Macaca mulatta: one gene and its partners. The protein of the gene in region 1 interacts with the protein of each later gene in a pairwise test. Links are inferred from orthologs where the notes say so. Each region holds a gene or a part of one and is shown in the gene's direction. Other genes may lie near its edges. The genes, in order: PKNOX1, PBX2, PBX3 and NUP58.

Evidence for each region.
Region 2: the proteins of PKNOX1 (region 1) and PBX2 interact in binary tests that used the Homo sapiens proteins (3 or more experiments, as listed by UniProt). The link is inferred for Macaca mulatta from reciprocal best matches to the Homo sapiens genes PKNOX1 and PBX2.
Region 3: the proteins of PKNOX1 (region 1) and PBX3 interact in a two-hybrid assay, tested with the Homo sapiens proteins (2 studies listed by BioGRID and IntAct). The link is inferred for Macaca mulatta from reciprocal best matches to the Homo sapiens genes PKNOX1 and PBX3.
Region 4: the proteins of PKNOX1 (region 1) and NUP58 interact in binary tests that used the Homo sapiens proteins (3 or more experiments, as listed by UniProt). The link is inferred for Macaca mulatta from reciprocal best matches to the Homo sapiens genes PKNOX1 and NUP58.

The regions. Positions count from the first base shown.
Region 1 is NC_133408.1:4,482,584-4,487,992, reverse strand, and holds part of PKNOX1 (homeobox protein PKNOX1), read left to right. Parts: intron 1-1,582; coding exon 1,583-1,710; intron 1,711-2,200; exon of another isoform or gene 2,201-2,702; intron 2,703-3,971; coding exon 3,972-4,143; intron 4,144-5,311; exon of another isoform or gene 5,312-5,409. UniProt on the Homo sapiens protein: Activates transcription in the presence of PBX1A and HOXA1.
Region 2 is NC_133409.1:150,129,093-150,135,121, forward strand, and holds the start of PBX2 (pre-B-cell leukemia transcription factor 2), read left to right. Parts: upstream 1-2,502; 5' UTR 2,503-2,740; coding exon 2,741-2,961; intron 2,962-3,850; coding exon 3,851-3,924; intron 3,925-4,141; coding exon 4,142-4,389; intron 4,390-4,480; coding exon 4,481-4,671; intron 4,672-4,853; coding exon 4,854-5,052; intron 5,053-5,233; coding exon 5,234-5,387; intron 5,388-5,742; coding exon 5,743-5,836; intron 5,837-5,932; coding exon 5,933-6,029. Other genes in the region: GPSM3 (G-protein-signaling modulator 3), read left to right, coding at 142-183, 404-506, 746-945, 1,150-1,287. UniProt on the Homo sapiens protein: Transcriptional activator that binds the sequence 5'-ATCAATCAA-3'. Activates transcription of PF4 in complex with MEIS1.
Region 3 is NC_133420.1:21,804,187-21,809,595, reverse strand, and holds part of PBX3 (pre-B-cell leukemia transcription factor 3), read left to right. Parts: intron 1-4,290; coding exon 4,291-4,481; intron 4,482-5,409. UniProt on the Homo sapiens protein: Transcriptional activator that binds the sequence 5'-ATCAATCAA-3'.
Region 4 is NC_133422.1:5,529,109-5,535,081, forward strand, and holds the start of NUP58 (nucleoporin p58/p45), read left to right. Parts: upstream 1-1,919; 5' UTR 1,920-2,068; coding exon 2,069-2,175; intron 2,176-5,973. UniProt on the Homo sapiens protein: Component of the nuclear pore complex, a complex required for the trafficking across the nuclear membrane.

The DNA.
Region 1 (5,409 bases):
AGGTCTGAGGAGGGGTTAGGAGCTGATAAAACACTTCCCAGGCCCTGGGAAGCACTCAGGTATGAACGGGGCAGCGCTCCAGGTGTCATCTGCACCTGGCACAGCTGTCTGGGAGGAGGTGGCTGGTAGCAAGCACTGCTGTCCCAGGCTGTGTCGGAGGTGGTCACTGTGCTGGGATTACAGGCGTGAGCCACCACGCCCGGCCTTTTTAAGGCTTTTTATACATGCTGGCAGATGGCCTTACAGAAATACTGTGTCCACTTAGGCTTTATTGCTTTTTTTTTTTTTAAGAGAAACAAAAACAGTTTTCCTAATATGTTGTGTACCATTTAAAGGCAGCAGAATAGAAGTCATCTTATTCCAAAAACAAGACGTTGGAGGGAAGAGCGCACAGGGCTGGAGGATGTGAGAGGCATCCTGTGGGAGTGGGCATTCATGGCTGGCCCCCAGGCTGTCTGGCCAGTGGGGATGGCCCCGCCCCCATGAGATCTCCCCACCCCCGCTGCCCCACGCTGCTTCCTCAAGGAACAGAAGCATGGCCAAACCCACCGAGGGAGAGATAGCCGGTCCTGGTCCTGAGGAAGCTGAGGTCTGGACAGTCTAATCTGCTCATGGATAACTAGAAGTTTACTGTCGCAACATTTTGTTTTTGTAAACTGATTTCTTTTTTAGTGATTTACATATTTTTTCCCTAAATGACAAAGACATCGCTTATTTAAAGCAGTTTAAATGGTAGTATCTTTTAAGGCTTTAAACACAGCTGGCCTTTTCCTTCTGAATGCAATGACATTTTTATGGCTATGTATTGCTGAGGTTTGAGGGTAGATATGGGAGAAGTTCAGCCCTGCCACAAATATGTAGCGTATGGGGTTAGGTTGTGTCTGTGACATGGTAAGAAGACCTTGGACTATTTGTTTTTGCTTCTCTGACTGCAATATTACTACATATTAGGAGATATAGCAATAGACAGAGGAGGAAGATTGCATGTGCGCTGTTCTCTTCAGTAGGGTATCGCCAGTGTTATTTTAAAATCACGAGCATTTCACAGACATTGGTTATTTCAGTTCTTTTTTTTTTTTTTTTTTTTTTTTGAGGCGGAGTCTCGCTCTGTCGCCCAGGCTGGAGTGCAGTGGTGCGATCTCGGCTCACTGCAAGCTCCGCCTCCCGGGTTCCCACCATTCTCCTGCCTCAGCCTCCCGAGTAGCTGGGACTACAGGCGCTGCCACCACGCCCGGCTAATTTTTTTGTATTTTTAGTGGAGACGGGGTTTCATTGTGTTAGCCAGGATGGTCTCGATCTCCTGACCTCGTGATCCGCCCGCCTCGGCCTCCCAAAGTGCTGGGATTACAGGCTTGAGCCACCGCGCCCGGCCGGTTATTTCAGTTCTTAAGCAGTTTGAAAATTTTACCTTTATCTGTTTTAAAGCACGTTAAATTCAAACGTGTTGGTAGTATTCCTTACATATGATTGCAGTCATACCGCTGTCTGGCAATTCCCCACTCCAACTGCATTCCTGTTGCAGCATGGAATACCTAGTAGTGGTTTGTGTTTGCTAATAAGAATTGTTTTCCTCCTTTTACAGATGCAAGTAGTGACAGAGTTAAAGACAGAACAAGATCCAAACTGCTCTGAACCCGATGCAGAAGGAGTGAGCCCTCCCCCTGTGGAGTCTCAGACCCCAATGGATGTGGACAAGCAGGCCATTTATAGGTAGTGCCGGGGGTGCCGGCTGTGGGGGCACTCAGAGGAGTGAGGAGCGTCGACAAGTTTGTTAAAAGGAACACTAGAACTAGTAGCGAGGCAGAGTTGTGAGGTGCCATTATGATGTGATAACTGCTCAGCTGAAAATTGTCTCAGATTAAGATGTTATTTCTGGCCAGGCATGGTGGCTCATGCCTGTAATCCCAGCACTTTGGGAGGCTGAGGCCGGCAGATCACTTGAGGTTAAGAGTTCAAGACCAGCCTGGCCAACATGGTGAAACCCCGTCTCTACTAAAAATACAAAAATTAGCCAGACATGGTGACATATGTCTGTAATCTCAGCTACTTGGGAGGCTGAGGCAGGAGAATCGCTTGAACCGGGGAGGCGGAGATTGCTTTGAGCTGAGATCGTGCCATTTCACTCCAGCCTGGGCAACAAGAATGAAACTCTGTCTCACACATACACACACAAAGATGTTATTTCTAATACCTAAAAAAGTTTTAGAAAATAAATCTATAAATTTATTGACATCACTCTGACACTAAGACCAAAGACAATACCAGGAAAATACAGGCCAGTATCCTTCACGAACTTAGATGTAAAAATCATCAATGCAATATTAACAAATCAATTCTAGCAATATGTGAAAAGAATAATACATAGCGACCAAGTCAAGTTTTTCCTGGGAACGCCAGACTGGTTTAGTATTTAAAAGTTGATCAGGCCGGGCACGGTGGTTCACCCCTGTAATCCCAGCACTTTGGGAGGCCGAGGTGGGTGGATCACCTGAGGTCAGGAGTTCTAGACCAGACTGGCCAACATGGCGAAACCCTGTCTTTACCAAAAAATATAAATATTAGCCGGGTGTGGTGGCGCATTCCTGTAGTCCCAGCTACTCTGGAGGCCGAGGTGGAAGAATCACTTGAACCTGGTAGGCTGAGGTTGCAGTCAGCTGAGATCGTGCCACTACACTCCAGTCTGGGTGACAGAGAGTGAGACCCTATCTCAAAAAAAAAAAAAAAAAAAATTTTTTTTAAAGTTCAGCGTAGAATTACATACAAGTCAGCAGTTCTACTTCTATGCATATATATACCTAAGACAAATGAAAAAAGTCCACACAAAAACGTGTACATGAATCTTCATAGCAGCACTGCCTGTCATGGCCAAAAGCTGGAAACAGTGCCCGTGCCCATCAACTAATGAATGAACAGACATATTATGGCATCTCCATGCAATGCAATAATATTTAGCAGTAAAAGGAATGAAGTGGCAGGTGCAGTGGCTCATGCCTGTAATCCCAGGACTCTGGGAGGCCGAGTCGGGCAGATCACTTTAGGTCAGGAGTTCGAGACCAGCCTGGCCAAAAATGGCGAAATCTTATCTGTACTAAAAATACAAAAATTAGGCCAGGTGCGGTGGCTCACGCCTGTAATCCTGGCACTTTGGGAGGCTGAGGTGGGCAGATCATCTGAGGTCAGGAGTTTGAGACCAGCCTGACCAACATGGAGAAACCCCATCTCTACTAAAAGTACAAAATTAGCTGAGTCCTGGTGGTGCGTGCCTGTAGTCCCAGCTACTCGGGAGGCTGTGGCAGGAGAATCACTTGAATCCAGGAGGCAGAAGTTGCGGTGAACTGAGATCACGCCATTGCACTCCAGCCTGGGCAACAAGAGCGAAACTCTGTCTCAAAAAATAAATTAGCCAGGCGTCATGGCAGGTGCCTGTAGTCCCAGCTACTTGAGGGGCTAAGTAGAAGAATCGCTTAAACCCGGGAGGCAGAGGTTGTAGTGACCCGAGATCCGGCCACTGCACTCCAGCTTGGGCCACAGAGCAAGACTCCGTCTAAAAAAAAAGGACTGATACCTGTTACAACACTGGTGAGCCTTGGACACATTATGCTGAGGGAAACAAGCCAGACACCACGGTCACATGTTATAAGATTCCCATTCATACGAAATGTCTAGAAGAGGCAAATGTATAGAGATAGCAAATAGGTTCTAGTCGGCTGGGGTTTGGGAAACAATGGAGAATGACTGCTATTAGATACAGGGTTTCTTTGCAGGGATGATGGAAATGTTCTAAAGTTGACGGTGGCAATGACTGTGCAACTCTAAAAACCGTTGAATTGCATACTTTAAATGGATGAACTGTGTGGTATGTGAATTTTCAACCAGCAGAGGTGTTAGGTGAAATAGTGCAGGCGTACGTGCAAAGACATTCTCATGGAGATGTAGAACGTAAATGGATTATTTTTGTCTTTTCTCCTCAGGCATCCACTATTTCCATTATTAGCTTTGTTGTTTGAAAAATGTGAACAATCTACACAGGGCTCCGAAGGCACAACTTCTGCCAGTTTTGATGTAGACATCGAAAATTTTGTAAGGAAGCAAGAGAAGGAAGGGAAACCTTTCTTTTGTGAAGATCCAGAAACTGACAATTTGGTAAGTGAAATAAATTTTATTTTTCAAAATGTGAAATATGTTTATGAAATTTTAGGCTTCTAAGTAGAACTGTAGACTGCTTGTAGTTCTGCTAAAGGAGAGACTCATACAACTCTAAAAGAACTAATTTTTATGGTGTGTGTAATGTGGATATGCCCGTCTTCCAGCCTTCTCTAGGTATCTTTTATTTAGTTAGTTTTTATTTTTAATTTATTTTATTTGTGTAGACACATCTTACTGTGTTCCCCAGGATGGCCTCAAACTCCTGGCCTCAAGCAATCCTCCCTCCTTGGCCTCCCAAGGCCAAACCTACCCTTTCCTTTAAAAATCAAATAAAGACTGGGTGCAGTGGCTCACGCCTGTAATCCCAGCACTTTGGGAGGCCAAGGCGGGCAGATCACGAAGTCAGGAGATTGAGACCATCCTGGCTAACACAGTGAAACCCTGACTCTACTAAAAATTCAAAAAATTAGCCGGGCGTGGTGGCGGGCACCTGTAGTCCCAGCTACTCAGGAGGCTGAGGCAGGAGAATGGCATGAACCTGGGAGGCGGAGCTTGCAGTGAGCTGAGATCGCACCACTACACGCCACTACACTCCATCCTGGGCGACAGAGCGAGACTCCATCTCAAAAAAAAAAAAAATAAAATAAAACAGGCCGGGTGGGGTGGCTCACTCTTGTAATCCCAGCACTTTGGGAGGCCGAAATGGGTGGATCACAAGGTCAGGAGTTTGAGACCAGCTTGGCCAACATGGCAAATCCCCGTCCTTACTAAAAATACAAAATTAGCTGGGCGTGGTGGCACACGCCTATAGTCCCAGTTACTCAGGAGGCTGAGGCAGGAGAAGCACTTGAACCCAGGAGGCAGAGGTTGCAGTGAGCCGAGATTGTATCACTGCACTCCAGCCTGGGTGACAGAGTGAGACCCTGTCTCAAAAAAAAAAAAAAATCAAATCAAATAATTTGAGTCGCCATGCCAGATGGACACGGGGATTCGGTTCTCTCTGCACAGCATTTGTAAAGGTCCGTAGGGCTGGGGTGTTCGGGCAACATGTCTGTGACCTGCGTCTGTCCTTGGTTTATCATAGACATGGACACAGACTTGAGTTGTATTCTCCAAGACAGCTCTGTCTAGAGGCTGACAGTGATTTGTGGTGCCTTCCTCCCAGGGCCAGGGCTCCAAGATCCAGCATTTTCTGTGCCCTCCGGAGGCAATGGAGAACTCCTTGGTTCCGTCATCACTGGATCGCTCTGAGCGAGCTGCGCC
Region 2 (6,029 bases), on another chromosome or scaffold:
GCTTCCTGCTCAGTACCCAGGCATCCAGCCCCCAGCTCACCCCCACCCCTTCCAGCCCCCACTCCCCTCAGGAACCCAAGGTTCCGGCCCTCCTCCCAAATCCCAGCCACCCCTCCCCCACCAGTTTCTCCCCTCCAGGGGATGGAGGCTGAGAGACCCCAGGAAGAAGAGGATGGTGAGCAGGTGAGCTGGGCACGGGGTTGGGGAGGCTGACACTGGGAAAGAAGGGAGGTGAGAGGATCTGGGGCAGAAATGTAGGGACACAGGGGCCTTGAAAGGCTTGGGCAAACTGAGGCAGGAACAGAGACACACAGAGAGGAAACGGGCCACTGACCTAGCCCCTGTCCACTCCACCCACTTCAACCACCACTGCTTGACTGGAATGGACATATTTTGGCATCAGGGCCCCCCTCAGGATGAGCAAGGCTGGCCCCCTCCAAACTCCACCACTCGGCCTTGGCGATCTGCTCCTCCGTCCCCTCCTCCTCCAGGGACCCGCCACACAGGTACCCCTACCCACCCAGGGAGAGCCCTGACCCTGGTGCCCACATCCTGATCCCATTACCAAGGCCCAGTCCATTGTGGGCCCTCTCCCCACCTCCTCCAGACTCCCCTTGGGATTACCCATTGCACCGCCTCTCCTCTGACCCAAAGTCCCTAATCACATCACCCTATCCACACTCCCCCACGGCTCCTGTCTGCCAACCTCTCTGGGTCTCTGAGCCCTCCACACCCCTCTCCCCAGCACTAGGACCCCGCTCGGCCTCCCTGCTCTCCCTGCAGACTGAGCTCCTTCTGGACCTGGTGGCTGAAGCCCAGTCCCGCCGCCTAGAGGAGCAGAGGGCCACCTTCTTCACCCCACAAAACCCCCCAAGCCAAGCCCCTGCCCCACTCCGTCCTCTTGAGGACAGAGAACAGCTTTACAGCACCATCCTCAGTCACCAGGTAAGACATCCCCCCAGGAGGCAAACCCAGGCCTCCTGGTCTCTTGGCCCTGTTCTCTTTTGGGTTCTACTCCTGCTTCTCCCTAGGCACCCCATCACCTTCACAGGTTTCCTATATGCCTCCCCATACCAACCCTTGATCCTCTCAAGAACCTCCTCCCCTCCGACCCTCACCAAAGCTCTTCCTCTGCCTCCACTCCTCCAGTGCCAGCGGATGGAAGCCCAGCGGTCAGAGCCTCCCCTCCCTCCAGGGGGGCAGGAGCTCCTGGAGTTGCTGCTGAGAGTTCAGGGTGGGGGTCGAATGGAGGAGCAAAGGTCCCGGCCCCCCACACACACCTGCTGAGACTTGAGCCCCCAGCCAGCCCTTCCTCGCCCCTGGTCTGAAAGCTGGGCAGCCTATTGCATGCCCTCAACTCTTGCTTGGCGGGGGTAACAGAGACTGAAAGACGCAGCGCAAATCTCAATATTCATCGCCCACATCACCTTCCTTGGGAACTGGACGGGGTGAAAGGCCTCAAACTCTGGGAACAGGCGAGGTGGAACGTGGATTTAACTCCCCCCTGCACAGGTCCATGGGAGCTTGAGGCAGTAAGGGGGATCCCAAGCACCCATCTCAATGAGTGGCTGGGAGTCTTTTCCCTAACTTGTGGGGACACCACCAATTGTCGAGCTACTAGGCACTAGGGTCTGAGGGCTCAGGCCTCCTCCTGAGAGGTTATAACCTGAGAGACAGCTCTACCCTTCCTCCCAGTAAGAAGGGAAGGTGGGTGGGCACCTGAGAGATTAAGACTATTCTCCCAGTCCCACTACCAGCACCCCCCATCCCTGAGACTGAGGGGTTTAGAGGCTGTGAATGGACCTTCAGCCCTGCCCACCCTCCCTCCCCACTGCTGCTGAGTCTGTCCAATGTTTTGGTTGTGTGAATAAATGTAATACCCCTCTGGACTGAAGACTGGTGTCTGGGGGACCAGGGCGGGGTGAAGGGTAGGAAGGTGAGGCCAGAGGCCGCCTCTCTCCCCAGTCTGGCCAGAGGCCAGCTCCCCTCCCTGGCTGGTTAATTACTGGCTCATTAAGCAGCGGCTGGAGACCTCCCTAATTATCTCCCCCAGCCCCCCTCTCCTGGTTTTAATTAAGTAGAACAGGGAGGGGAGTCATTAGAACAAGAAATATGAACTGAGCTGTCGGTGAACCCAGGCATTCCAGCGGCGTGAGTCCACATCGCCTAGATCCCTGATTCAGGACCCAGGTGGCAGATCCCCGCAGCCGCCAACACGCCCCCACTCCCAGGCCGCGGAAGTCCAGCCAGGGGGCTTTCCCATATTTTTCAGATGGCCCGTCTCCTCCCCTCAGCCCCTCTTCCCTCTCCCCTCCTCCACTCGGTCTCAGTTCCTCTGTTTCTGTGTCTCTCTCTCCGCCCCCAGCTCCTCCCTGTTCCTCCTCTCTTCTCCCCTCCTCTTCCTCCCCGGCTCCCCTCCCCCAGCCTCCCTCCCTCGCTCCCCCCCTTCTCCCTCCTCCCTCCTCCCTCTCTCTCACACACACCCCCGCTTGGGCCTCCTCTCTCTCTCCGGCTCCATTTTCTCCGCCGCCGGGGGCCGGGGTCTCCTGTGGGGGGCCCAGCCGGTACCCCAGGTCTCCCTTCAGTGCCGGGGTGAACCCCCGGGGGAGCCGGGAGCCGGGGGCAGACGGGCGGGGGTTGGGGCGGAGGGAGCAGCGGCCCCAGCGAGTTTGGGGGGAGAAGTAACCAGGCGGGGGGGAGGGGCGGAGCAGGGAGGGGGCCTCAGGGCCCCCCCCCAGCTATGGACGAGCGGCTACTGGGGCCGCCCCCTCCAGGCGGGGGCCGGGGGGGCCTGGGATTGGTGGGTGGGGAGCCTGGGGGCCCTGGCGAGCCTCCCGGTGGCGGAGACCCCGGTGGGGGTAGCGGGGGGGTCCCGGGAGGCCGAGGGAAGCAAGACATCGGGGACATTCTGCAGCAGATAATGACCATCACCGACCAGAGCCTGGACGAGGCCCAGGCCAAGTGAGTGCCCCCACCCCGGGACCCCACACAGACCCAGCAAACCCCGTTCACATGCTTTGAATCTACTGGGAGCCCCCCAACTCCAGGGCCCTCTTCCAGGATCCAACAGCTCTCTTCTCTCATTCCTGGGAGCCCCTAGAAAAGTGATCCCTCTCAAACCTCCCTTCACCCCCAGGCCTTGAAACCTTCACAGAGGGAACCCCAGGTGGCCCCGCTCCCCACTCCTAACCTTTTGCTGACCCCCACACTCCCCTGGAACAGCCCCATCTCCGGGAGCCCCCTCTGGCTCCCAGACTCAGAAACTGTTCTTGGGCTATGTTATCTTCTTCCCTAACTCTCCACCCAGCCCCTTCATTCTGTCCAGATGTGGAGACCTCCACACCCTCTCCAGAGCCCCTAAAGCTCCTCTCCACGGCTCAGCCAGACACTAGGTGCATCAAAGCCTCCCACCTGCTCAGCCCCAGGACCCCTTCACACACACAACACTGATGTCCCCAGTTAGCTCGGCACCCCCAGTCCCGCTCTGCCACCTCAAACTCCGACTCTTCTCAACCCCAGCCTCAGTCTCTCTACCTCTGAAACCTACCAAGTCACTTTCCTTTCTCCATCCACTCCCAAATTCCTCCTCATACTTTTCTAGACCATCTCCCAAAGCCCCCGGCCTTTAGCCTGCTGCCTGCATCTTCCCTGTGTCACCCTGAAGCCGAGCAGCTTCCCCATGCTCTGGGAGCTGATCTTTTCCCAAGAACTCCCCTCCCCAACTCCATTCCACCCCCAATCCGCTTCCTCCCTCTGCAGATTGACCCTCCTCCCTCCTTGTTCTCAGGCCCCCTGCTCTGTTTCTCTAGCTCCTCAACTTTTCTCTTTCCCCACTCCCACTCCTCCCAAGGAAACACGCCCTAAACTGCCACCGAATGAAGCCTGCTCTCTTTAGCGTCCTGTGTGAAATCAAGGAGAAAACCGGTATGTGGGCCCTCCTCTGGTTGCTCAACTCTGGGGACACAAATCTGTTCATTATAGGGCTAGAGTGTGACAGCTTGGGGGCCTGAGGAAAGTGAGGAGTCAGGGGCACTGGGGAAGGAACCAAAGCCTGGGAACTTGGCTCTCCAGGAAGCACCAGGAGGACTGAGCACTGGGTATGGGGTCCCTGGGTCCTTAAGTCCACTCGCCTGCATGCTAGGCCTCAGCATTCGGAGCTCCCAGGAGGAGGAGCCGGTGGACCCACAGCTGATGCGCTTGGACAACATGCTTCTGGCAGAGGGTGTGGCTGGGCCCGAGAAAGGGGGCGGCTCAGCAGCAGCAGCTGCAGCCGCTGCAGCCTCTGGGGGCGGCGTGTCCCCTGACAACTCCATCGAACACTCGGACTATCGCAGCAAACTTGCCCAGATCCGTCACATATACCACTCGGAGCTGGAGAAGTATGAGCAGGTAAGGAGAGGAGGGTGGAGGGAAGGGCTCTTGCAGGGGAATCCCATGGCCAAAGGGCTCCTTCTCAGCAGCCCACTGGCCCCCACTACAGGCATGTAATGAGTTCACAACCCATGTCATGAACCTGCTGAGGGAGCAGAGCCGCACCAGGCCCGTGGCCCCCAAAGAGATGGAACGCATGGTGAGCATCATCCATCGAAAGTTCAGCGCCATCCAGATGCAGCTCAAGCAGAGCACCTGTGAGGCTGTCATGATCCTGCGTTCCCGTTTCCTGGACGCCAGGTGGGCCCAGGGACCCGAGCTGGCCCCCAGCACTGGGCTCCTTCCCATTCCTCTCCAAGACCCTTAGCTGCCATGCTGCACAACGTGGTACTCCATGACAATGGTGACTCTGGGGTCATGCCATGTAACAGCCCTGCCAGGACACCAACACCCTCCTCACCGCTCTTCTCCCTTCTCTGTAGACGAAAGCGCCGTAACTTCAGCAAACAGGCCACTGAGGTCCTCAATGAGTATTTCTACTCCCACCTGAGTAACCCATATCCCAGTGAGGAGGCCAAGGAGGAGCTTGCCAAGAAGTGTGGCATCACCGTGTCTCAGGTATTATGGAGGTTTCGGGAGGAGTTGTCAGGCAAAATGCACGCATCTCAGCTAGGTGCAGTGGTGTGTTCCTGTAATCCCAGCTACTAGGGAAGCTGAAGTGGGAGGATCACTTGAGTTGGAGACCAGCCTGGGCAACAGCATAGTGAGACCAGAAGAAAAAAAAATGCTGTCACTCACATCTTATTCAGTGAAGGGCTTCGGAGGCAAATGTTTCTACCCGACCCTCCTTTCTGCCCCACAGGTCTCCAACTGGTTTGGCAACAAGAGGATTCGCTATAAGAAAAACATCGGAAAGTTCCAAGAGGAGGCAAACATCTATGCTGTCAAGACCGCCGTGTCAGTCACCCAGGGGGGCCACAGCCGCACCAGCTCCCCGACACCCCCTTCCTCTGCAGGTGGATCCTACTGTCACCCCGGCTGACTGTTTTGCACACTTCCTGCTTTTGTTCCCACTTCCTACCTAGGCAAGATCATAGCAGAGAGGGGGCCTTTTGGGGTGACAGGGACCAAGCTGAGATAGGCTGGAGATGTCAAGGGACAGAGGCCACTCCAGTGAACTTAGTTCTGCCTTTCTTCCCACGGGTGGCCATGGGAGGCTAAGGAACAGCCTGCTCTTTCTGCGTGTTGCAGTGTTGTTTTGTGGATAATTGGAGTATAGTAGCACGTCCCCACAAGAGCTGAGAGTTGTGGTTCATCCCCTTTCTACCATCACGGGCTCTATTACACTCTTCCCTCTCTGCCCCCCACAAGGCTCTGGCGGCTCTTTCAATCTCTCAGGATCTGGAGACATGTTTCTGGGGATGCCTGGGCTCAACGGAGATTCCTATTCTGCTTCCCAGGTCAGATGCCCATCTCCTCTCCAGTAGGGCTTTCCCCAACTCCATTTCCCCTACTTGAGGATCCAAGACCTCTTTCCTCTGAGTTCTCTTCACTGTCACACCTTCCTCCGCTGCCTGCAGGTGGAGTCACTCCGACACTCGATGGGGCCAGGGGGCTATGGGGAGAACCTCGGGGGAGGCCAGATGTACAGCCCACGG
Region 3 (5,409 bases), on another chromosome or scaffold:
CCCTCCCCTCCCCTCCCCTCCCCTCCCCTCCCCTCCCTTCCCCTCCCTTCCCCCTCCCTTCCCCTCCCTTCCCTTCCCTTCCCTTCTTTCTTTTCTTTCTTTTCTTTCTCTCACTCTGCCACCCAGGCTGGATGCAGTGGCACAATCTCAGCTCTCTATAGCCTCTGCCTCCTAGGCTCAAGTGATCTTCCTACCTCAGCCTCCCAAGTAGCTGGGACCATAGGCATGCCACCATGTCCAGCTAAGTTTTTATATTTTTGTTGGAGACAGGATTTTGCCATGTTGCCCAGGCCAGGTTATTTTTTATATATTGGGTTAAATGAAATATATTGTTAATTAATTTCACCTAATTCTTTGTATTTTATTTTTTTAATATGGCTACTGAGAATTTAAAAATTTAATATGTGTCTCATAATATATTTCTATTGGACAGTATTACTCTAGAGAGAAATTTTTTGGCCACATTTATTTGGGAAAAAGTTGGATATACTGTTTCTCCTTGAAGATTTATTACAAATATTGGGATAGAAATACTGAAGAGTCTTATCCACAAACATTTTTTAAGATTTTGGTTAACCCAGCATATCCCAAACATACCATATTGTTGGACCATTAGTTAACATTCTATGAAACTAGCTGTAGAACTGTAGAATTTGTTAATCCCAGTTTGGGAATAGTTCTAGTTCAATTATTGTTGTTTTACTCATGAGAATACTGAAGGGTAGAGTTGGCCACATTATATAACTTGGAAATTATATAAACATCTCCTTAGGGAAAGTTCAAGAAAAAGCTATATATATATATATATATATATATATATATATATATATATATTTACTGGTAGGGTGACCACTTGTTTCTAATTTGGCATAAAATTGTTTAAATTGATAATATAGGCCGGGCATGGTGGCTCATGCCTGTAATCCCAGCACTTTGGGAGGCTGAGGCAGGCGGATCACTTGAGGTCAGGAGTTTGAGACCAGCCTGGCCAACATGGTAAAAGCTTGTCTCTACCAAAAATACAAAAATTAGCTGGGCGCAGTGGCTCACACCTGTAACCCCAGCACTTTGGGAGGCCGAGGTGGGCAGATCACGAGGTCAGGAGATCGAGACCATCCTGGCTAAAACAGTGAAGCCCTGTCTCTACTAAAAATACAAAAAATTAGCCGGGCGTGGTGGCGGGCACCTGTGGTCCCAGCTACTCAGGAGGCTGAGGCAGGAGAATGGTGTGAACCCAAGAGGCGGAGCTTGCAGTAAGCCAAGATCGCGCCCCTGCACTCCAGCCTGGGCGACAGAGCAAGGCTCCATCTCAAAAAAAAAAAAAAAAAATTAGCTGGGCACAGTGGCATACGCCTGTAATCCCAGCTACTCGGAAGGCTGAGGCATGGGAATCACTCAAACTTGGAAAGCAGAGGTTGCAGTGAACCAAGATTGTGCCACTGCACTCCAGCCTGGGCAGCAGAATGAAACTGTCTCAAAATAAATATATAGGCCATGTACTGTTTATTACAGGCTCACGCCTATAATCCCAGTACTGTGGGAGGCTGAGGCAGGTAAATCGCTTGAGGTCAGGAGTTCGAGACCAACCTGACCAACATGGTGAAACCCCATCTCTACTAAAAATACAAAAAAAAATTACCCGGGCATGGTGACACACGCCTGTAATCCCAGCTACTTGGGAGGCTGAGGCAGGAGAATAGCTTGAACTTGGGAGGCAGAGATTGCAGTGAGCCAAGATCGTGCCATTGCATTACAGCCTGGACAACAAGAGCTAAACTCCATCTCAAAAAATAATAATAAAATAAATTGATAATATAGTGGCGAAGATCTTAAATTTATTTTTTTAAATCTTGGTTTCTGCCTTCAACTTCTGGTTTTAGTCTACAATATTGCTTAATGTTTTACTATGTCATATCCTAGGATAATGATTACTAACCTTTTAAAATTATAGACTGAGAATCTGAAAAGAAAACAAAAACTTCACAGATTCATCAGAATTATTAATATTCACACAACTTGTATAGGATTTCAGGAGGTCATTGACCTTCTAAACCTATCCATTGACTGCAGATTAAGAATTCTTCTCTTATGGTTCAGGGATAATGAATTTATGGCTATTAACCAACATAACTCTCACTCTTGAATTGTAGTATTAAAAAGCCCACCAATTTGTAGATGTTTATTAGATATGTATATTGCATAATTCTACACTCTGAAGAATCCTGTATCATATAGTGTCACCACTCGCAAGGAATGTAATATTTCCTACGGCTTAAAACATTTTTGAAAAAACTTTACATAGTAAGACTCATTTTACCTTATCTTAGAAATATTTATGGAAAGCTCTGTAAAAGCGTAGAGTAAGTGAAATACACAGTGTACAGGAAAGGTTAGTCCTCCAATGAGCAGTTAGAAAAACCATCGTGTGCTATATGTAAGCAGTGTTCAGGATACCTGTAGGGAAGTGGACATTATCATAACTTCCAAACACGTCTTGCATTAATCAGTGATTGTTCTGTCTGCTCACTCTATCAGGGACACCCGTGCAGTAAGATGCAGAATTTCCCATCCTGCTTTTTTAAGAAAAATGCCAGAAGAGACTTTTCTTCTTCAGGAGTATAAACTGATGCTTTATTTACCAGGGCAGTACCGGATTTCAGTGTAGGCCCAGTTATACAGATTTATAAATCAAAGAGAATATAGATGAAGTTGGATACAGTGGCACACACCTGTAATCCTAGCAGCTCAGGAGGCTGAGGTGGGAGGATCTCTTTAGGCCAAGAGTTTGAGACAAGTCTGAGCAACATAGCAAGACCCTGACTCTAAAAAATGATTTAAAAATTAGCTGGGGGCCAGGCGCGAGGGCTCACGCCTGTAATCCTAGCACTTTGGGAAGCCGAGGCGAGCAGATTGTCAGAGCTCAGGAGTTTGAGATCAGCCTGGGCAGCATGGTGAAACCCCATCTCGACTAAAAGAAATTAGCTGGGTGTGGTGATGTGCACCTGTAGTGCCAGCTACTTGAGAGGCTGAGGCAGGAGAATTGCTTGAACTTGGGAGGCGGAGGTTGCAGTGAGCCGAGATTGTACCACTGCACTCCAGCACTCCAGCCTGGGTAACAGAGTGAGACTCCGTCTCTACAAAAAATAAATAAATAAATAATTAGCTGGGTATGGTGGCACATGCCTATCATCACAGCTACTTGGGATGCTGAGATGGGAGGATTGCTTGAGCCCAGGAGCTTGAGGCTGCAATGAACTATGATCATACCACTGCACTCCAGCCTAGGTGACAGAGTGAGACTCTGAATTTTAGGGGAAATGTGTGTGTGTGTGTGTGTGTGTGTGTGTGTGTGTATGTGTGTGTGTGTGTGTACTGAAAGAGACAATGTCTGAGGATTGTTAACTAAAAAGTTTGAGACCCAAATCTGATCCTTATTTTCTGTTGGACATCTCTTGAAGAGTTGAGCTGCTATACAGAGATGGCTTATATCCACTAAAGGCCTGCACTACAGCTAAATTGTAATAGGTCGTTGGAATGCTTGGCATGCAAGGCCCTTTATGTGCTAATTCAAGCCTGAATCCTTCTTGCCTCTTTACATATTATCTGTATTCCTACTTGCCATATTCTGAACTTGCAACATACTGTTAATTTCTAGTGCCTGGAATTCCTCCTGACTTCCATCTTTATCTACCTTTCAAAGATGCTACCTATTCTTTAAAGCGCAATCCATGAAGCCTACAGATGAGAATATTCCTTCCTTGGAACTTATTAATATCTTCCTGTTAGTCTTTGCACTGAATTAGTTTTTTATATATTTTTTCTCACCAAAGGCCAGGCCTGCATCTTACTCATTTCTATGTTCCTTACAGCACTGGCAAGAGTTTGAACTTTGTAGTTGTTCAGTAAGCATTTGTTGACTAAATGTAAAACCCCAGAGAAAATAGGTGGTACTTAGTATTAACAATTAACATATATTTTTATTTGTATATGGGAATTGGTAGGGAGCATCCTCGAATGGGAAAACATAATTTTGGAACTAGACAGGGGTGGGTGGGAAGAGCAGCTGAATGCTATCTCCCTTGCACATCTGACCATGCACGGTTTCAGAATTCTTGCTGCTTTAACTACTATTACTACCATTTTGAAAGTGTCTTAGTTTTCGTTTTACCCTACACACTGTATAATGCTATTGGTGATTGCAAATGAGGTGTAAATTCAGATGTTAATCTCTTTATGTGATAATATAAAATATCAGTTTCCAAAGGAGTGATTTTTTTTTTCCCATTACAGGCATGTAATGAATTTACTACACATGTGATGAACCTTCTCCGAGAACAGAGTAGAACACGTCCCATTTCTCCAAAAGAGATTGAAAGAATGGTGGGCATCATCCATCGAAAATTTAGTTCCATTCAAATGCAACTCAAACAAAGCACTTGTGAAGCAGTTATGATTTTAAGATCAAGGTTCCTCGATGCCAGGTATGTGAAGCCATAAATCTATTGCATGGCTTTCCCCCGTCTTTCACTCCTTGTATATTCTTTTCTGTAAAACTGACCCATTGGTCTTAAATTCTTTTGGCCATATGAGCTCTTTTGTGCAATGGACAGGTAATTCAACTCATGGTGCCTGTGCTGTCAAGCTTTCCTGTCTGGGAATGGTAGTGTAGTGTGGGTTAGTTGCCAGTTTAGTGACTCAGGAAATGAATAGGATTGGCGTCTCTGCTGATGGCTTTAGGAATATGTAGCCTTTCCATTCTGATGCTAAAAAGTGTTTTTAAGGATAGTTTTCTGCATATAACTATTTTAACAAGGGGTATTTTCTAAGAGTTTCTTAATGTTACACTGCTTGTGCATATTATCGGAAAATACTTGGAGATATTGATACTCCTAAGAAGGAAGAGGCATTTCAGTTAATAGCAGTTACCACAAAGCTCCAGAGTCTGTATATCCAAATCAAGAAAGAAAGCCTATCATTTTTCCTGTAAGGATGAAAATTTCCCTTTATCCGAAGCTTTCCCCAAGTTTCACAGGAGTTAGGTAATATATTGTATATGGTAATAAATTGTATGTGGTGACCTACTGAGTGACAGAACAGAAGAATTGTCAACGTCCTAGTGTACGCTGCCTCTGTAGGGATGCCTCTCGGGGCATTGCCAAAGCTTATGATCAATCTGCAGCTTTGGAAAGGAGTTTCTGTTTTGTTTTTCTTTCTTCTCCCATGGAATCTGACAGAGGTGATAATTATCATCCAAATCTCACAATATTAAAGGAAATGACTAAGATAGCTTCTCAACTGGAAAACAAAGTGTGTGGAGCATTTTCAGCGTTTTTCATGTTAGCTCTTTCTTTCCGTCTCAGTTCCTGTCCATCCTTTTGTACGTGAACTAGCACAGTACCTACTAGTCTC
Region 4 (5,973 bases), on another chromosome or scaffold:
GCTCACGCCTGTAATCCCAGCACTTTGGGAGGCCGAGGTGGGCAGATCGCTTGAGGCCAGGAGTTCGAGACCAGCCTGGCCAACATGGTGAAACCCCATCTCTACTAAAAAATACAGAAATTAACCGGGCGTGGTGGTGTGCGCCTGTGATCCCAGTTACTCGGGAGGCTGAGGCAGGAGAATCGCTTGAACTCAGGAGGCGGAGGTTGCAGTGATAGGCCATTGTATTCCAGCCAAGGCCACAAAGCGAGACTCCATCTCAAAATACAGTATAAATTTAAAAAATAATAAATTAAGTTAAAAAATAGATAAAATAAAATGTACATGTTTCAATTATACAAACACAGAGGTGGTGTATTAGTCTGCTTGGCTGATGTAACAAAATACCATAGACTGAGGTGGCTGTAACACCATTTACTTCTCTCAATTCCGGAGACTAAGTCCCAGATAAAGATGGGGCAGTTTGGGTTCCAGGTGAAAGCCCCTTCTTGCTCTGTCCTCACATGGCACACAAAGGAGAACAAGCTCTTTGTTGTTTTTTCTCTTAAAGGCACTAATCCCGCCATGGGGGACCCACCCGGGTGACCTCATATAAATTGAATTACCTCCCAAAGGCTCCATCTCCAAATACCAACATATCGGGGTGGGGCGGGGCTTTAACATACGGATTGGGGGAGGAGGGAAATAGTTCCGTCCACAGCTGGTGGCAATGCCCAAGCTCAACGCAAGATTAAAGTACTGAATTACAGAGAGCTGTGAGATGAGGTTAGAAAGACTCCTCATACGGAGGTCATCAAGTGCCAGACTAAAGAGCCACTGGGCTTTTTAGATCATAAATCCGGGGGTTGCTTATGGGATGGATTTTGTTAGAGATCACGAGTGGGAACACCATTGGGGGGGGTAATATAACAATTCCTGAGGGAAAAATAAAAACGAACACTACGACAACCACCCTCGAATGCACCACCACCAGGAAGCCTTTCCCGACGCTTCGCCAGAGAGGTTCTCTTTAAACGCGAATTTTTCTTGAGTTACCCTAGAAATGTGAGTTCCCCTCCACATCTCGCCTTCTCTCGTACACGTTCCTGTGCGTTTCCTAACCTTCCACTTCACGGTGCCTGCAGCACGCGGTGTGTCCGCGCGCCCTACAGCCCTGCACCGCGCTTCCGGCGCAGCCGCCCGCGCTCGGCCCCAGGTCCCGCCCTCCCGCATCAGGATGCGCGTACGGCGTTTGTGGACTTGACCGCAGACCAGGAAATCCCGCGGGCCTGGCCACTTCTGGGCGCTAGGACCACAGCCGGCCACCCCACGGACGCCGGGGACGCTCTTCTGGGCCCATTTCAGGGCCGCGCGTCGGGCTCGCAACAACGGCGTCCAGCTGGCCTGAGGCGCAGGGGTGGGGCTCACGTCGTCGGACGGTTGCATGGATTATTTTCGATTGATTTCCGAACCTTCAGGAAGCAGACACGCTCCCCTTCCTTCTTAAGAGATGATGGGGCGGCAGCCAACGAAGGCCCGAAGCCGCCTCCTTTTCTGGGTGGGGAGCTAGGAGATGCTCAGGAGGGACCTCCCCGATTCTGAGCATCATTTTTGGCAGGAGGCTACATATGAGCAGTAATTGACATTCATCATTCTAATGTGCAGATTATGTCAGTACGGATGCTACGATAGAACAACTAAAAAATGACAGAAATGGTTTCACTGTTTTTAAACTCTGGGAGCCTACTCCTTTAAGAGATTGGGCCGTGCGCCAAGCCCACCTGGTCCCGGGGTGCCTTGCGCGGCTCGCCGACCCCCCCCCCCCCCGCACCCCTCCCAACTGGCGTCCCAGAGCTCCCTGCGCGGCGGTTTCACTTCCGGCGGGCTACGTGCGCGCGGCGAGCGACGGGCGTACTTTTGCGTGGTTGCTCCACCCCCTCAGCCTTACCTTCGCCGCCGTTGGGGCTGGAAGTTCTCGCCAGGTCGGTGCCGGGCTAGAGAGATGTTCCCCGGCCCGCCTCGGCTTTGAGGCGAGAGCAGTGTCCCAGAGCCCTTTCATCTTGCTGACGGCGTCGAGCCCCGGGCAGACATGTCCACAGGGTTCTCCTTCGGGTCCGGGACTCTGGGCTCCACCACCGTGGCCGCAGGCGGGACCGGCACGGGCGGCGGTTTCTCCTTCGGAACGGGAGCATCTAGGTAACCGCACTTTCTCACCTTCCTGGGCCGGATTCCCCCCGAGCCCCACCCCCGCAAAGCTCCCCTCGTGTCCCCGTCCTCTCTCTTCCCGCTGGCTTCCTTCCCGGTGAGGCTGGAGAGAAGCACATAATCTAGCCGCCCGGCGTCGTAGGCCTCTCGCTCGCCGCGGTACCCGGGCCCAGCGCGGCCTGGTGAAGTGGAGGGCGGGATGGGTTTTGTGCTGTGAGGTTTCCAGATCCGCGTATAGTTCAGGCATTGTTTGGACCTAGTGAGGTCTTGACTGCGTGGAGGGGCCTGGGGGTCTTCCCCGGAGCTTTAGCGATGCGTCAGTCTTAGGCGTAGAATGAACGTTGAATGAATGAATGAAATTATAGCATGTTGTGGAGTTTTATGGTAGATAATTCCAATTTCATTGCAGCATTTGCGGTTTTGGATATTACGGTGTTTTAATAACTTTGTGGTTGTTTTTAACCAGCTTTTCAAGCTTCTGTGCCACATGGGACCTCATCTGCTTTTGTTAAAACAACAACAACAAAAAACACTTCTTTGCAGTGTTTTTTAGTGGTAATTTTGTGCATTATGTGCAGATTAGTATATCTGACGCAAGAATGTTGTGTTGTAATCACTCAACATTGTCTTTTACTTAAATTACGAAACGTAGGTAGCATGTTCCTCGTTTTTGTGCAACCCATTAGTCCAGGTGGCGACAAAAACATAACTGTCCAGAAAGAAACAAAGTGGTGAGGCATTTATTTTAATGAGAGATTTAAGCTTTAGAACTCAATTTTTTAAAAGATAAAGGTGGAGGGGTTCATAAAATTAAGGAGTGTGCACACTGTCAACAAGATACTTCCTGAAGCTTAAAAGATGCGGCTGTAGATTTAAAAGGCAAAAACTTAAGCATGACCTGCAGTTTAAAAAGGGAGGGAGGAGGAATCACAGGCTACACAGTCAAATTCAGAAATTTGAATTTTCATCCGTACCTCCGTTATTCTTACTCGCTCAACAGCAGGTCCTAATAATTTTACTTCTGCCATTTCCGTTTGTCTTTATTTCCAGTTCCACCACCCTGCTCAGGCTATTATCATTCATGGAACAAATATTTATTGGACAGATTCCCATGTGCAGGGCTCTGTTTTAGGTATTAAGAGTCTTGCTCTCTTGATCCTTAACATTCTTACGAAAGTACTTCTGATTCTTGTCAGATTTTTAACCAGCTGTCTTTCTTGTTTTAGATGAAAACTACTCCAATCAACTTCTTCAATCTGTTCTGCCACATTGTAGCCAGAGTAATTTTTTTTAAAACATTGTCATTGCTCCCCCCTTTAATCATTTCCCGCTATCTTTAGAGTGAAGTTAAAGAAAACAGACAAACAAAAAAACTTACCATAGTCTGCAAGGTCCACTTCTGCTGGAACCTCTGGGTACTCATCTTGAGCCCGTCTTTTTATTTTAGTTATCCAGACCCACTGTTAAAAACAAACACGCAACTACCACCCGGTGCACCACTACCTGCACACAAATAAATCACTGAAATAAAGTTTCCGAGAAAGATACTAACCCCTACTTCATGGGATGCACTTTGATATTTTCTATTCTATTTCTTTTTTTTTAATGTTGTTTATGACTTGAATTAATTTTTATATTTCTCTCATGGTCCTGATCTTAGTGTGAGAAAGCCTGTCCTAGCAACATGACCTTTTCTCTTTTCAAGTGGGCTTTGCCAGCCCCTTCCTTGCCAGTATCAAATGGTCTTTTTCCCCAGAGAGGCCTTTTCTGACCTGTCAGTCTAGGGGAGATTTCTGTTCTCCTAGTACTCTTAGAGTGCTGATCACAATTGTAATCAGTTTGTTACATTTATTGTTAACTTGTTTGTTGTCAGATCTCAGCTCTAGAATAATTAATATCTGTGTTTCTCACTAACTAGAAACTGCCTGAGGGCAGGGTCTGAGTCTTACCACCTCTTCCTCAGTCCCAAGGACAGTGCCTGGCATAGAAAAAGGGCTTTAGTAACAATTTGAATGACTGAGCAAATGAGTTATTAGTAATAAGTTATAAAAAATTACCCAAGTTTTAGAGAGGCTTGGATAAATTAGTGAAAGAGGAGACAGTCTGACATAAATTTGTTAGAGTGCTGGTTGGGAGGCCTGACAGCCCCTAGTGCCACCTGGTGATTTGATGTCTTGAGGTCGGTCATTTTAGGGGAGTTCTCACATCTGGAACTCCTCAACTCAGGAGTGGGTTACCTGAGTTGATGAGTGAGATGAAGCATTTGAATATTTAGCATCAAGTCTGGCACTTGCTAAGTGCTCAGTAAATGTTAGCTATTATGTTAGCTGCCAAGTCCGCATTAGGGCAAGCTGGCAAGTTAAAATAACATTCCTGATGTGATTGAGTCAAGTTGGTTTTTATACAGCACATCCTATCAAGTGCTTGGCACATAACATTGGTTTGAGGCAATAATTGGTCAAGTCTAGGGTAGCTTTTGCTTTTCTTGAGTTTAGTAAATTTCACTGACACCAAAATTTCTCTTTTGCTTTTGTGATAGAGTAAAATTTCATTTTGATGTGTTTCTTTGGCAGCATTTTCAACTTTAATTATGTAATATTTCATAATATCTTCAGTTATGTTGTCAAGACATTAAAAAATATATATATGTATATATATATATGGCACAATCTCGGCTCACTGCAAGCTCCGCCTCCTGGGTTACTCAATTCTCCTGCCTCAGCCTCCTGAGTAGCTGGGACTACAGGCGCCACCACCACGCCCGGCTAATTTTTTTTGTATTTTTAGTAGAGACAGGGTTTCACCGTGTTAGCCAGGATGGTCTTGATCTCCTGACCTCATGATCCACCTGCCTCGGCCTCCTAAAGTACTGGGATTACAGGTGTGAGCCACTGCGCCTGGCCCTTTTTTTTTTTTTTTTTTTTTTTTTGAGGCAGAGTCTTGCTCTTGTTACCTAGCCTGAAGTGCAGTGGCGCAATCTCGGCTCACTACAGCCTCCGCCTCCTGGGTTCAATCGATTCTCCTGCCTCAGCCTCCCGAATAGCTGGGATTACAGGCACACCACCACACCAGGCTAATTTTTTTTTTTTTTTTTGATATTTTTAGTAGAAACGGGGTTTCACCATGTTGGCCAGGCTGGTCTCAAACTCCTGGTTCAGGTGATCCGTCCTCTTCGGCATTCCAAGGTGTTGGAATTACAGGCGTGAGCCACTGCGCCCAGCCACCAATAATGTTTTAGTATCCCCCAGATACTCATTTATTCTACTCCACATTATATACACAACAGTTTCAAAATAACAATACGATCAGACTGACCACAGCGAAGCTAAATGTTTTGGCATATATGGCCCTTTTATGGTTGTACCTATGTTGTCTGGATATAGCCATTACATACTATATTCTTTTGCTTGTCGCGCTCACTTAGGTTTCTGTGTGTGTGATATCTCACTTAGTTTTGGTTGTAGCAATGTGTTTTTAATAATACCTTTTAAATTCAGACTAAATGTTTAAAGATCTGTGGGCCTCTTTTTTTTTTTGTGAGACGGCCTTGCTCTGTCTCCCAGGCTGGAATGCAGTGGTACAGTCTCAGCTCACTACAACCTTCACCTCCTGGGCTAAAGTGATCCTTCCACCTCAGCTTCCTGAGTAGCTGGGATTGCAGGCATGCTTCAGCACGCCTGGCTAATTTTTGTTTTTTGAAAGTTTTTTGTTGTTTTTTCGGTAGAGACACTTTTACCATGTTGCCCAGGCTGGTCTCAAGCTTCTGGGCTCAAGCAGTCTGCCTACCTC